Nothobranchius furzeri: one gene and its partner. The protein of the gene in region 2 interacts with the protein of the main gene of each other region in a biochemical or structural test. Links are inferred from orthologs where the notes say so. Each region holds a gene or a part of one and is shown on either strand. Other genes may lie near its edges.

What was found.
Region 1: the proteins of magi3a (region 2) and adrb1 interact in a test that uses a peptide from one of them, tested with the Homo sapiens proteins (2 studies listed by IntAct, with this or other methods). The link is inferred for Nothobranchius furzeri from reciprocal best matches to the Homo sapiens genes MAGI3 and ADRB1.

What each region holds. Positions count from the first base shown.
Region 1 is NC_091756.1:38,264,574-38,272,124, reverse strand, and holds adrb1 (beta-1 adrenergic receptor), read left to right. Parts: upstream 1-3,618; 5' UTR 3,619-4,326; coding exon 4,327-5,694; 3' UTR 5,695-6,150; downstream 6,151-7,551. UniProt on the Homo sapiens protein: Beta-adrenergic receptors mediate the catecholamine-induced activation of adenylate cyclase through the action of G proteins. This receptor binds epinephrine and norepinephrine with approximately equal affinity.
Region 2 is NC_091755.1:38,352,855-38,359,966, reverse strand, and holds part of magi3a (membrane-associated guanylate kinase, WW and PDZ domain-containing protein 3a), read left to right. Parts: intron 1-431; coding exon 432-632; intron 633-1,294; coding exon 1,295-1,480; intron 1,481-1,563; coding exon 1,564-1,657; intron 1,658-3,648; coding exon 3,649-3,724; intron 3,725-3,914; coding exon 3,915-4,052; intron 4,053-5,845; coding exon 5,846-5,984; intron 5,985-6,225; coding exon of another isoform or gene 6,226-6,278; exon of another isoform or gene 6,279-6,317; intron 6,318-7,112.

The sequences.
Region 1 (7,551 bases), on a different chromosome or scaffold from region 2:
GGTTAAGTACATCCAAGACTGCAACAAGATCTGCACATTTGTAGCTAAGGCAAGGAAGTTGTTGCACAACTCATTCTTAGACGTTGGTTTGCTGGTTTGAGCAAACTGTTCTGACTCTATTAATCTGTCTTTTAAAAGGCAAAGGTGCACCACTACACACACACACACACACACACACATTTGCTATTTGAAACATCATCATGAAGCATGCTCATGCATTGACGGGACAAAAACTGCTATGATTCCACATGTTGGAGGGATGACCTCTTCTGCTGACTCTGATTAAACTAAAGGAGTGGAGAACCCTGAACAGAAAACCAGCTTCTCTGCCTCTGCAGAGTTATTCAGGCTTGATCTGTACACAGGCCTGAGCTGCTTCAAACTTGGACCTTTCGCTCTCTGCCTGTTTTCACACGAGGTCAAGCTGCGGGGTCGAGCTAAACCTGCTGCACTTTTCTTCCTCCGGCATCCAGAACCTACCTGAACACGTGTGGGAGGTAGCTGCTGTTTGGTGGTAGAGAGCACTTTAGAGAAAGTAGGAGAGTTGTTCAAAAGTATTAAAAGTTCAATTACATCAAAGAGATTCAAAAGCGTGGCTTTACTTACATCAGAAACATTGGATTTAGACCCTGTCCTATTCAGAGAAGAATGGCTAAGTGTTATTTTAGGTCAGAGCAGAATACTCCTCCTGTTGCATAGTTAACTTTACTGAATAGACTGTGATGCTGGGCAAGTTTTACTGAGAAAATAGTTTCTAAAAATATGTGTTGATCCAACAAGGCAAAAACAGTCTTATTTACAACTGTGGCCTGGAAGAAGGCAAGGCCTTTTGAGGAAGAAGGAGAAGGGGCTGTAGCTTAAAACAAAATGTAAAATAACAGAAATTTGACTAAATAAACATGAAAATCTATAAATAGATTACAACATTCACAATAAAATGGTGATTTTTAAGGTGTGGAATACTGAAAAGAACATTTTATAATTATTAGTCCTAATCATAATCAGTCACTCTGAGTTTTTCATGCAGACTGAATATGAAAATAGTCTCCTACACCTATCTGCTGCATTAGCTTCTGATAGAAAATAGGATTTGAAAAGCCTGACAGATCTACGTCACACTGTCACACAACAACCATGAACTCACCCATCTTGACTCACAACGGTGAAGGTTGTTGTTGGTTTAGCGTCCAGGACACAACAGAGAACGTCTCAGCTAGTAGAAGCTAACATTAGCATTAGCAACATCACCACACAGCAGAACTCCTCCAGGCTTGTGTTATTTGTGGAGATAAAACATCAACACCGCAGAGCAAACTGAGTCAGTGGTAGAGTTGCATTGCTGTTAGCCAGTCATAGGAGAAATCACAATCAAAAATCAGAAATATGACTCAAAACCTTCAAAGTCTATTTAAAGTGGTTGAGCAGGTTCCTTTTGCATGAGATAGCATAGCAGCCCAGTTTCTAACCAAAAACGTTAACACTGAGCAAGAATGTCTGCAAAACACTTTAAAACTAAACCAGAATAGTTTTCCGTTCAAAAATGATGAAGATATTTATTTTGTGTCAAATCTTGAGAAAACTTAGTACAATAGCTCCAACTGTCAATGACAAAGTTAAAGCTGTGTATGTGGTGGGAACCACTCTTTAGCCCATTATCTATAAAACTGGCATGTTGTTGTTGTTGTTTACTATTGTTGATTAGCTGTGGGGCCATCTTTAATCAGGCAGGGCTCCCGCCAACAGTTGGATGCATAGATAGTGTTCAGAGTGCATCATGCCAATTACTTTTAGCTGTTATTATAATGAATGCTGGCTCAATAAATGAAAAGAATGACTGAGTTGTAGCCATTTTTGTGTTTTCCCAGCTTCGGCCAGCAGGGATCAGGTAGACTCCCAAAGAACAGTTCACTGTTTAGGCGTGGCTTTATTCTTAATTCAGAGATATTTGGGGTCACATGGCTTGAAAATTGCTATTTTGTGGGTCTGAAGCTGAAGCGATTACTGCTCCAGGATCCTGACTCAGTGAGACAACTCACATCTGGAACCACCCAGATGTGAGGCTCCACAGTTTTAGAACAAACAGTTGTGTGAGTGTGTGCCATCCTGTGTAAGTGGCTGTTGCTGCAGACCTGAGTGGTGGAAAATGGCTGTTTTCTGCAGATCGTAGAAAATGCAGAGACACCAAGAGGGAGTCTCATACAATGGAAGATGTTTCATGGCTATTCTCACACTCCGATACTCAAAAGGAACGATTGGGATTCTGCAGGATTTTGGAAACATGGGAACTTTGCTGCGATTTGGAAGTTACAGCTGGGTAATAAAACAATTCTGGTTATCCACTCATTTTAGGAAGTCTATTAGTGTTTGCATGCTTTAGTGTTACATCCGTTGATTCTGCTTTTTGTAAAAAAAAATAAATAAATAAATACTTAAATTTAACAAATCAAAATAATAAGAGTCTTACATGTTTATAAGAAGATAAAATCACCTGTATAGTCATAGCGGCCTTTCTGCGTGGAGTTGTGTGTTCTCCCCATGCATGCGTGGGTTTCCTCCGGGTCCGGTTTCCCCCACAGATCACAACATGCCCTATAGGTTATAAACTGTAAGTCGCTTTGGATAAAAGCGTCTGCTAAATACATTAACATAATAAACGTAAAATGTGGCTCTTTGCATTTATTCAAGGAAAAATTAACAATATGTTGAAGGAACTTTCAGCCCTTTTCTCTGACTCCGTCACAAACACCAGAATCATTTGAGAAAACAAAACATAAGATTGAAATATTTTTAGGGTGTTTCACTTAAAAATCTTTCAGCTGACTACATAATATTTCAAACAGTCAAGAATAGAGCTGTTATTACTTCATTCTAAGCTTAATTTATTCTGTGCTCAGCTCACATGTATGTAAAAACTGTGTGTTTAAATGTTTTTCCAGAATCAGAAGTTGGTGTTACCCATGCATAACAACTTCATCACAAAGAGAAATATTTAATATTCCTCTCGGTGATGCATGAGTACCGTTCTTGGGTTATTTTCTCTGCTTCATCAGAAGTTTCTGCCTCTAATGGTGCAAATGAAGGGAAAACACTGAGAACAGGAAATGACTTAACCCTTTACTGGTTCCAAATGTGTGACGCTTAATTGTTCCACCAAAAAGCCAGCAGGGAAAAACATCATAATCAAAAGGCTTTGCTTCAGCCTCCACACTTCAAGGTCAAAAAAGAAAAAAATAAAAGCATCCTGCTGCTCATAAAGGTCAAGGGGGAATGTTGACTTCTCTTCGTTGTGTTGGGTCGGGTTGTGTTGCAGCCTCAGCTGTGGGGTCGCTGGGTTCATGGGCGGGAGCGTAAATCGTCCACATAAAAACAAACAAAGTTTTGTTGTTTTCCATTTTTGTGCAGACTGTTTGTCATGAGGCCGGTGGAAATTTACACATCTGATGTGGACTAAGGTGTACAATCACTCAGAGCTCAAAGGTTATGGTCCATATTGACATGACAGCATCACACAGCTGCATGATGGGAGTCTCCTGTTCCACCACATCCCACATGTTCTGGACTGAGATCTGACTGTGGACATGGTTGGAGTCCAGTGAACTCATGGTCATGAAACCAGATGATCTTCGTGACATGGTGCTTTATCCTGCTGAAAGTGTAGCATGGGTTAGGGTCCACGTGGTCATGGATGGACATGGTAGTCTGTGGTGTTTAAACCAGGCTCAGGTGGCACTGGGGGTCCAGAGTGGGACAAGAACATCTCCCCCACACCATTGTACCACGCTGCAGCAATGATACAAGACAGGACGGATCCAGGTAGTTCACATATTCTCTCATTAACATTAATTAAACAGCTGAGCAGGTGCAGAGTGACCAGTTTATTTAAAACAAACTCAAGTGGGACAGTGGTGAGTCTTTACATTGATGCATTTAATAAAATCTGGTTGTGAGCCAAACGCTTCTTTATGCAGCTGTGAGGCCAGTCTGCAGGTCTGTGTTGGGTCAAGTCTCATGTTTAAGGAATGTATTCTCAGAGATAAAAATATAAGGAGAAAAACAAGTTCTGGACGTGATAGCAAGTGGTGACAGGAGGGAATTCCCTCTGGACCATTGTGATGTTTCCCATATTTGGTGCACCGTTTTCCCACAGTGTGGGGTTTTGCAGGATAAGAAATTCATGGGTCAATTTCTCATCAGAATATCGCGAATGTTCAGTAACTGTCCAGTGCATGCAAAATAAGACTGGAAGTCTGCTTTTCTCAGGTGCAGCTTGTTTCCTGATCCTCACCGCTGGGACCGCGGGTCCCCTGGACTTTCTGATTGGCCGTGATGAGCGGTGATGTCACCGCCTACCTCGCTGTCCAGGCCGGCGCGGTTTCGAGCGCAGATCCAGAGAGAGAAGCTAAAACACTCCGTGGAGTCGGCGCGCGATGGGATGAGAGCTGCGTGAACGCCGCACAGCGCTGCCTGGATGAGACCGAGCTGGTCCAGCTCACAGAGCAGCAGCCCGTCATGGGGAACGGTGGTGCGTTCTCACCGGTGAACCTCCACAATGGCACGGGGAGCGAGGCGCCGGGCTCCGCTTCACCTGCGTCGGAGCAGTGGATGGCGGGGATGAGCCTGGTGATGGGTCTGATCGTCGTGTCCATCGTGTTCGGGAATATCCTCGTGATCGTGGCCATAGCCAAGACGCAGAGGCTGCAGACGCTCACCAACGTGTTCATCGTGTCGCTGGCGAGCGCGGACCTCATCATGGGGCTGCTGGTGGTGCCATTTGGCGCCGCGCTTGAGGTGCGCGGCTCCTGGCTCTACGGCTCCTTTTTCTGTGAGTTCTGGATCTCCGTGGACGTGCTGTGCGTCACCGCCAGCATCGAGACCCTGTGCGTCATCGCCATAGACAGGTATGTGGCCATCACCTCACCTTTCCGCTACCAGAGCTTGTTAACCAAGGCTCGCGCAAAGGCGGTGGTGTGCGTGGTGTGGGCCATCTCTGCGCTGGTCTCCTTCCTGCCCATCCTGATGCACTGGTCCCGCGACAACGTGGACACAGCCTGCTACGAGAACCCGGAGTGCTGCGACTTTGTCACCAACCGGGCGTACGCCATCTCCTCATCCATCATATCTTTTTACATTCCTCTCCTGGTCATGATCTTCGTTTACGCACGGGTGTACAGAGAGGCCAAGCAGCAGCTGAGGAAGATCGACAAGTGCGAGGGCAGGTTTCACAACACCCTGACTGGACTCACCTCCAAGTGCAAGAAGAGGCCGTCCAAGATCCTGGCGCTGAGGGAGCAGAAGGCGCTCAAGACGCTGGGCATCATCATGGGGACTTTCACTCTGTGCTGGCTGCCCTTCTTCATAGTCAACGTGGTGCGGGTGTTCAGCGCAGAGGTGGTGGACAAGAACCTCTTCGTGTTCCTGAACTGGTTGGGGTACGTGAACTCGGCCTTTAACCCAATCATCTACTGCCGGAGTCCGGACTTCAGGAAGGCTTTCAAGAGGCTGCTGTGCTGCCCGAGACAAGCCGACCGCAGGCTGCACATCAGCTCCTGCGACCTGTCCCGCTGTTCCGGCGGGTTCGTGTCCGCGCTGGAGCCCGGGACCTTGGAGATGTGGTCGGACTGCGCCGTCCTGGACAACAGCGACAGCAGCCTGTTGGGGACAGCGAAACTGTCCCACTCAGAATCACAACTGTGAAGAAAATAAATAAAACCATCCAGATGGAGAGTTAAAAATATATACAAACAGGAAAGGATGCGCGTAAAATCCAAACCATTCGCTGTAAGTGGAGTTGTCTGTACAATCAGTTAAAGATCTTGGTCTTAATTCATCGATGCGATAAATCCAAAATCGAAGGTTTGCGCTCACAGAACACAAAGCGCTTTTTCCACAAAAGCGCACGAGCCTTAAGGTGATTTATTACTGCAGATGCGACTTTTTACTCCAGATCTGTCGACCAGGTGGCTATAATATTAAAAGAATCACGTTTTGCTGATACCTTTGTTCATAATGGGAAACAATGTGTTCCTAAAATGATCTCTGAGGCGCTCCAAAACGCGCATAACGTGGATGCCAATAAGCTCTTAATTACCTCACAGGCCGGTGCAATTTATACGGCAGGTACTTGTTTATATTAAACATAATGTAAAATAAGTGTTTTTATTTATTCGGTGCGTTCTTTTACAACATAACCAAGTGAGGGGTCAATAATTGCGCATTTTGTGGTGTGGAATGAGGAATCTCGAGCCTCTGTCTGTCTCCGGCTTTACCAGCTGTTTTAAGGTGGTGCTTTGACGTCTGTGAAAATAAAAATAACCTTTGATTGCTTAGTTCTGTTCGAGCTGTATTTCCTGTGAGTGGTTTTATATTAGAACCTGATCCACAGGCTTTTGCTCCATGGTAATTTCTTATTTTTTACATAATACTTTTTTGAACTAGATGCAAAGTTTAAAAATAACCCAGGATTTGTTAATAGCCTGCCTGTTAAATGCTTCCCTGCTGGCTGAGAACAGCTGGAATCTGATTGGCCTCCAAGGAAAGATATGGATAACATGAATTTTAAACAGGGATATGAGATGTATAGATGTTTATTGACTCACTTTGTTCCCATACCACAACATCACAAATCAAAGTTTTAATGGAAGCACACTGGTATGGGGCACCGATTGTGAAAATAACACGTAACATAACAGCTAAATTTTACACTTGGCTGCAACTATTAAAGTTAAATCTAAATATTTTGAATCAGGTCTAAGAGTGTAAAATAAAATCTAAATGCTTAGAATCAAACATAAATATACAAAGTGAAATTTAAACGTTAAAATGTAAAAATGTGGTGATCTGAATCTAAGAATTTAGAGTCTAATGCAAGCTCAGACAAGTGCTGGACAAAGTACAAAGTTTATTTAAGAGATCCCTTAAGGGATCCAATTTCCTTTGAATGTGTGACTAAATTTAACCAGAGATCATTTATCAATGTTCTTAATTTGCACAGAATTAATTCCTGTTCTCAAACAATTCAAATAATTTTATGTTTAAAAGATTATCAAAGAGATTAGGAGTATAAAATAAAGCATCATTTTATGTTATTTACTTATATTCTTTGAAAAGTAAACTTCAATTTTACAGCAGTTTAAAACCACCAAATTTTACTTTTTTTGTTTAAAAATAAATTTCAATTTTAATATTTTAATATCATGTAGACTGATGTTCACTAAGACATAATATTGTAATTCTTGAAATATGAGAATAACATTAGCCCCCCATGCACTTGAGGCCTGCATTGCTAACTTTCATTTAAAATACTTTTACTCCAGTAATATTTGTCCCTCCCTGTTCACTGTACAAGTCTAAAATGTGGAGATTATTCTTCATACATGGCAAACCTGAACCTGTGGATCAGAACATCCATCCATCCATTGTCTGAACCCGCTTGTCCATGTAGGGTTGGGGGGGGGGGGGGGGGGGGGCTGGTGCCTATCTCCAGTGGTCAATGGGCAATCAGGCGGGGTACACCCTGGACAGAGAGCCAGTCCATCGCAGGGATCAGAACAT
Region 2 (7,112 bases):
TGCCCGCATCCTCCACCAAAATGTTGGGTAATTAAATGTTGGGTAATTTGTACTTCTCCATAACCCTGGAACCTGAAATGAACACACAGGACAAAAGGGAGACATTTTATACCAAATTGCCAAATGAGGGGGAGACCATATATGACAGTAACTCTCTCCAAAGCTAGCTGCCATGCGTCTCCCACTTTCTTCAGAGTTTCCAGTGGCTTTAATCAGCAAAGGATGGAGAAGGCGGGGCCTTCTTGGGTTACAGAGGTGCAGAGACCCATCACCCCCCACACAAAGGAAGATTCACAGACCAAGCAAAATGAACATTTAATAAAAATACCTAACAATTTATGCCTGCAGTTTAGAGAATATTTTCATAATGTATGTTTTGCTGGTTAGAGCTTTGATACAGTCTTTTCTGATTGTGCATGCTTGTCTCTCAGATGGCAGTGGAGAGGAGGAGAGCGGCCAGAAGCCCCAACAGGTGGCGTCGGCTCTGGTCAGCAGCTCTCCCTCCACGCCTCCCAGCACGCACCCCGCTCAGCCCTCCAGACCGGAGAGCTTCGACGTCACACTGCAGCGCAAAGACAACGAGGGCTTTGGCTTTGTCATTCTCACATCGAAGAACAAGCCCCCACCCGGAGGTTAGCATCAGATCAGAAAAGATCTTTCATCACGTAAAATCACTTCACGGGTGACTTTTGAACGTAATGAAAATGCAAACAGAATGAAGCCAAACTGCATGTATTTGTTACATATTAGTTTAATAGCAGCGTCGCTGTTTCCATCTGCGCCAGTATGAACCGGATTAAGACCTCTGTCTGAGTTAGACACAGCTGGCATTTTCTGATCACTTTAACCCAAATGAGCTCATCTGTCTTAACGGGAATAATGTAATTAAGCCATGGGGAGGGCTTGTTTTCATAGCTCGATTCTATCAGCGCGCAGCAGAGATGCTGCTGGCGAAAGGGACGATCTGTGTTTTCAGGGATTAGAATCTAATCGAGCATTCTGATGGATGCAAAAAGCTTGGGAGCATTTTTTAAACCAGAACATTTATATTGACTGAGCTTATTGTTTTTTCTTGGGGTGTCAGAAACTGATTCGTCATCACTGCGTTCCCTTCTCGGCTCAAAGCTGTGGAGCGTGTGGCTATTTTTGAATACTTTTTCATTAGAATTACACCTAAATTCAACATAATCACATAAGAATCTAGAACATTTCCCCACATTTGTACAGGTGTCTTTTTTCGTTGCTTGTTGTTTCTGCTGAACATGATCATCGTTGCTCTTTTCCTTTCTTCCAGTCATACCTCATAAAATCGGTCGTATAATTGAAGGCAGCCCCACGGATCAGAGTGGTCAGGTGAAAGTGGGCGACCGTATCTCTGCGGTGAACGGTCAGTCCATCATGGAGATGTCGCACAACGACATCGTTCAGCTCATCAAGGACGCCGGGAACACGGTCACCCTGACTGTCGTACCTGAAGACGGTAAGTTGGCTCGAGTCTCAATTTCTACCGCCCTGATCACCGAGGAGAACCAGATAACAGAAAAGGTCGGTGTGTCCTCACAGACGGAGCTCCTCCTTCTGGAACAAACTCTGTGAAGCAGAGCCCTTCGGCCCAGCACAGAGCTGTGGGCCAACAGCCTCCCAGTTACCAAGACAGGTACACAAACGTACACGTGGAGTTCAGACGATGAAGTGCTTCTTGTGCGTGTTATTTAAATGGTTCCACGTGTTAAGATGTCCAACTTGTTTTCAGTGTGTAGCTTGAGTGCGTTGTGGGATTTGTTGGGTGTTTTCTGCTCACAAGCCAAATATTTGTTCAGATCATGTTCAGTAAGGTGAGTTGGATGTGGGCTAGGGCCTTGTGTTGGACGTGAACCGGTACAGTCCAGAGCCTCCGCAGTTTAGTCCACTCATTTGGGTGGAGAGCCTCAAGAGGAGGTTCTTCCTTCCAATGATGAAGATTCAGAATACAAGCACAACACAAGCCTGGAGAACTAAAGAGGCGGAACATTTAGGACCAGGCATCCTGTGTTGCTGGTTGAGATCTAGTAGTCTCCCTTAAGCCGGGCGTACACTGTGCGACTTTTTCACTTTTTTGAGCCGATTTTCCACTCGTGCGAGAATCCACGAGATCAGGGCGAGTTTTGCGCTGAGCGTCGTGTAGTGTACAGGGGGTTACGAGAGGCGATTAACACCACGTGACCAGCTACCGACCAGCAGTCGTGAGGTCACACGGACTTCTGGTGTGTTTGATATTTTGCTCGTCCCTCGTGAGGGTATCGCACTGTTGAAGCGGCGCTGCGAGCAGCTGCGACCCAAAATGTATCAGAACCGCTCACGGCGCATGCGCAATCCTGCATCAACACCGCTCGCCCGCTATTTCCCTAATAACACACGCTGTTCGTTTTTGTTTCTACACGTTTTTTTACTCACAAAGATTGTCAAGAAAGCGTGTTTGTCGTGTTCATGTCAAATTAAGCTGATCACAAAACACAGATTTACTTTCTTTATTTCGTTTTCCTCATCCAACCCCCATAAATCCCTGTGAGTCCTCCTGCAGCACTCCCAAAGGACAACAGGCAAGACAAGACAAAAAAGTCTGACGTGTTGAGTAAAAACTGCTATTTTTAGCATATTTTTAGGGCCGACGTGTTGCTACCAGACGTGCAGTGTGAGCAGTCAGGTCGCATCCGAGAACTGGGTCGTGCAGTGTGAGCGCATGACTCGTGAGATCTGCCCTGCGAGGAAGTCGTACAGTTTGAGCTGAAGCTGAGTGCTACGAGTGAAAAAGTTGCACAGTGTACGCCCGGCTTAGTCTACTTCACACCGATCCTGGTGTGTGCAAACAGCCAAAGCCCTCTGTTACATCGGCTCTAAAGGGGATCGTTCCATCTTTCACTTCACACAAGCTTCTGATCCCAGGTTTGATGCAACCAGAGTTTCAGCCCCAATCGTTCCAAAGCCCCTCTGGTGCTTTGCTGCCATGTGGCCGATTGTCATTAATGGAGTATGTGCTCCTTGTTATCTAACCCCCTTCACACACACACACACACCACCCCATCGACTTGGACAGAGAGACAGAAGTGGAATTAATGAAGGACCATCCTTTTCTTTTGACCCTATTTCCAGGGAGAGTGACCTGTGTCTACTCTTCTACTGGAGCCACCTTTAACCACCTTCTCTCTTCATTGTTGACGTCTCTCCATTACTCAGCAGCACTCTGCCTCCTGGTTTAATCAGCAGCACATGCCTCGGGTCGACCCAGGCTCAGATGCGAGCTGCGGCTGACAGCTTGGCAGCGTGAAGTGCACAAACACTCATCAGGGCTGGAGCCGCTAAGGATGTTCAGCTCTTCAGATGGTGTGTCAGCACGGCTAAGTTCCCACAGAGGCATTGTAATGAGCTCTGCGAAGCGTTAAAGCGTGCCGCTGTTATCCGTCACTGAAACTTGGCTGCAGCACGGCTCTTGGAAGGATTTACGTTTCTCTGCTCGGGTTAAATAATGAAATCATCAGAGAGAGAGAGAGAGAGGCTTGTGCTGCTGGAATCAAGGCGTGGCAAAGCGTGGATCAGAGTTTTCAGTGTTACGGTTTTATGCTTTAAGAACAACCCAGTGTGGTTGACTCCTTTTTTTAAAATCTGTGACAGGAATGGTGACTCTGATCTGAAGAACTCGGTCCAGCCAAATGAACGGGGAGCACTCATCGCATCAGGCCCCAAGCAGGTAAAACCAAAGACACCGTCTGGTGTTTAAGGCTTTAGCTGTATTTTAATGATGTCAGCAAACCGTGATGTGTTTTAAGTCACGTTAAGGGTGAAACTGATTTTTGCTGCATTGTCTTGAGTTTGCGGTGGACTTTTTATGAAGTGCCCCAGTCGTAAAGACGTATTTTGTTTCTCTCTGGGACTAACAGGGCTGCCTCGTGGTGGAGCTCGAGCGCAGCCAGCGGGGTTTCGGCTTCAGCCTGAGAGGAGGAAAAGAGTACAACATGGGCCTGTACATCCTGCGGCTCGCTGAGGAGGGGCCTGCGCTCAAAGATGGGAGGATACACGTGGGTTCATTTATCTGCTCTTTTAATTATAGCTCAATCAGAAATCTATGCAAACCCCTATAAACCAAAATGCTGTGGTAAAACTGGTAACGATAGAACAGAACACGTCAGAATATGGGGATGAATGGGTGGATTGTACTTGCCCATGCCTGAACAGGAAGTCACGGTTCTCCATAGACACCACTTGAATAAAGATAATTTAGTACATAAGACTGTCTTCTCCGGGTGAGGGATGAGGTCCCGAGTGGAGGAGTTTAAGCATCTCGGTCGTGTTCATGAGCGAGGGAAAGATGGAGTACGAGATCGACAGGTAGATTGGTGCTGCGTCTGCATTGATGCGGGCGTTGTACCGGTCTGTCGTGGTGAAGAGAGAGCTGAGCCAGAAGGCGAAGCTTTCGATTTACCGATCGATCTACGTTCCTACCCTCACCTGTGGTCATGAGCTTTGGGTAGTGACCGAAATAACGGGATTGCGGATACAAGCGATCCAAAATTAGTTTTCTCCGCAGAGTGGATGGGCTCTCCCTTAAGCCGGGCGTACACTGTGCGACTTTTTCACTTTTTTGAGCCGATTTTCCAGTCGTGCGAGAATCCACGACATCGGGGCGAGTTTTGCGCCGAGCGGTCGTGTAGTGTACAGGGGGTTACGAGAGGCGATTAACACCACGTGACCAGCTACCGATCAGCAATCGTGAGCTCGCACGGACTTCTGGCGTGTTTAATATTTTGCTCGTCCCTCGTGAGGGTATCGCACTGTTGAAGCGGCGCTGCGACCCAAAAAGTATCAGAACCGCTCACGGCGCATGCGCAATCATGCATCAACGCCGCTCGCTCGCTATTTCCCTAATAACACACGTTGTTCGTTTTTGTTTCTACACGTTTTTTTACTCACAAAGATTGTCGAGAGAGCGTGTTTGTCGTGTTCATGTCAAATTAAACTGATCACAAAACACTGATTTACTTTCTTTATTTCGTTTTCCTCATCCAACCCCCATAAATCCCTGTGTGTCCTCCTGCAGCACTCCCGAAGGACAACAGGCAAAACAAGACAAAAAAGTCTGACGTGTTGTGTAAAAACTGCTATTTTTAGCACATTTTTAGGGCCGACGTGTTGCTACCAGACGTACAGTGTGAGCAGTCAGATCGCATCCGAGAACTGGGTCGTGCAGTGTGAGCGCATGGCTCGTGAGATCTGCCCTGCGAGGAAGTCGTACAGTTTGAGCTGAAGCTGAGTGCTACGAGTGAAAATGTCACACAGTGTACGCCCGGCTTTAGAGATAGGGTGAAAAGCTCGGTCATCCAGGAGGGGCTCGGAGTAGACCCGCTGCTCCTCCACATCAAGCATCTAGTTAAGATGCCTTCTGGACACCTCCCTGGTGAGGTTTTCTGGGCACATCCAACTGGTAGAAGACCTAAAGGAAGACCCAGGACACCCTGGAGAGACTATTTCGCGGCTGGCCAGGGAATGCTTTTGGATCCCTCTGGAGGAGCTGGCCCAAGTGGCTGGGGAGAGGGATGTCTGGGCCTCTGTCTAGGCCACCACCCCCTCAACCCAACCCCGCATAAGCGGATGAAAATGGACGGATGGAATGCATAAGATGAACGAAGACGTGTTTATTTTGTGTTACTTGCTAAACCAGCTTTAGAAGTTACTTGTGTCTACCACTAGGGGGCAGTGTGGAATAAGAAGTATGTGAGAAGGGAGAGTGAGAGAGTTGAGATGGATGCCTGATACTGCCGCATGTGTTGTTTTTTTGTGATTGGTGAATTTAAACTCTAAATCTGAATTGCAGGTTGGAGATCAGATCGTAGAGATCAACGGCGAGGCCACGCAGGGCATCACCCACACTCGGGCGATTGAGCTGATCCAAGCAGGAGGCACTAAGGTTCACCTGCTGCTCCGACCTGGTCAGGGCCTGGTTCCGGATCACAGTGAGTCACGGCTGAAGGATCGCCTGTGTTTAGCTCAACACGCCATCCACTTGAGTACAGAAGATGCTTGGCAGCAGGATGCTTCTTGGTTCTCATGCATGGGTTGCAAAGCTTCTCTTTGACCTTTTCGTTGGTGTCTCCTCATGACCTCTGCTGCTGTTTATCACCTTTGCTTTCTCTGTTTTTCTGCTCTGGCACGGCTGTCTGTTTTCTACCTTTTTATCTCCTCCTCCTCCTATAGGTCTGAACTCTTCTTCCACCCTGTGCTTCTACATGAAACCAGAGCATCAATAAGGCCTCACTGCTTTTTCTCGGTCTGTCCTAATAACCTTGGTAAATCTTGGACTCCTCCTTGTTTTTTCCTTTGACCTCTTGTTGAATTAGTTTATCCCTCTCATAGAGTTTTGTGTGACTAATGGGCCATTCCCATCTGTACCGTGTCGGCCCGGGCCGGGTAGCCCCAGTCGGCCCCAGCCTGGCCCGGTTGATTCCACACATCCTTGTCTTAAGCCCATGTGGGCTGATTCTACCCACCAATCAGAGGCTTGCTCTAATGGAAGGTGTGGATTTGCTGTCAGCAGTGGGTGTGTTGGCCCTGGTCGGCCTGAAGCAGACCCCCTCGAGAAGAGGGCTGAGAATGAGCCTTGGTTGGCCCGGAAAAATACCAGGCCACCCAGATATGTAAACAACCTACGCTACCCGGCCCGGGCCGACCCGGTACAGATGGGAATGGCCCATAATGGTGCAGTCCTCAGTCTGATCTCCAGAGGGTTGATTGGAGGCCTCGGCACCCTCATGCTGCTTGGTGGTCAGCACAACCGTCCCTGTGCTTTCATCAGCATCAACCCTTCAATTCCAAAGAGCAAAATGAGATTTAATTTCTGACTCCAGGAAACCAGAAACCTAATTTCTGCACCACTAAGTCTACTTCTTGTCTTTTACTTCTCCTACCCAGCCCTCACCCCCTTCTGGGGTTTCCTGCTGCACATTTCTGCTCCTAAGCATGGCTGTGCAGCCCTTATCAGCTCATAGGAAAATTGAAACGTCAGTGCGGGTTGAGCCCCGGCACCCTCCCGGCTGATGCATATCTCTCCAGCATTTAGATGGTTATTGCAAAGAGGATTTTCA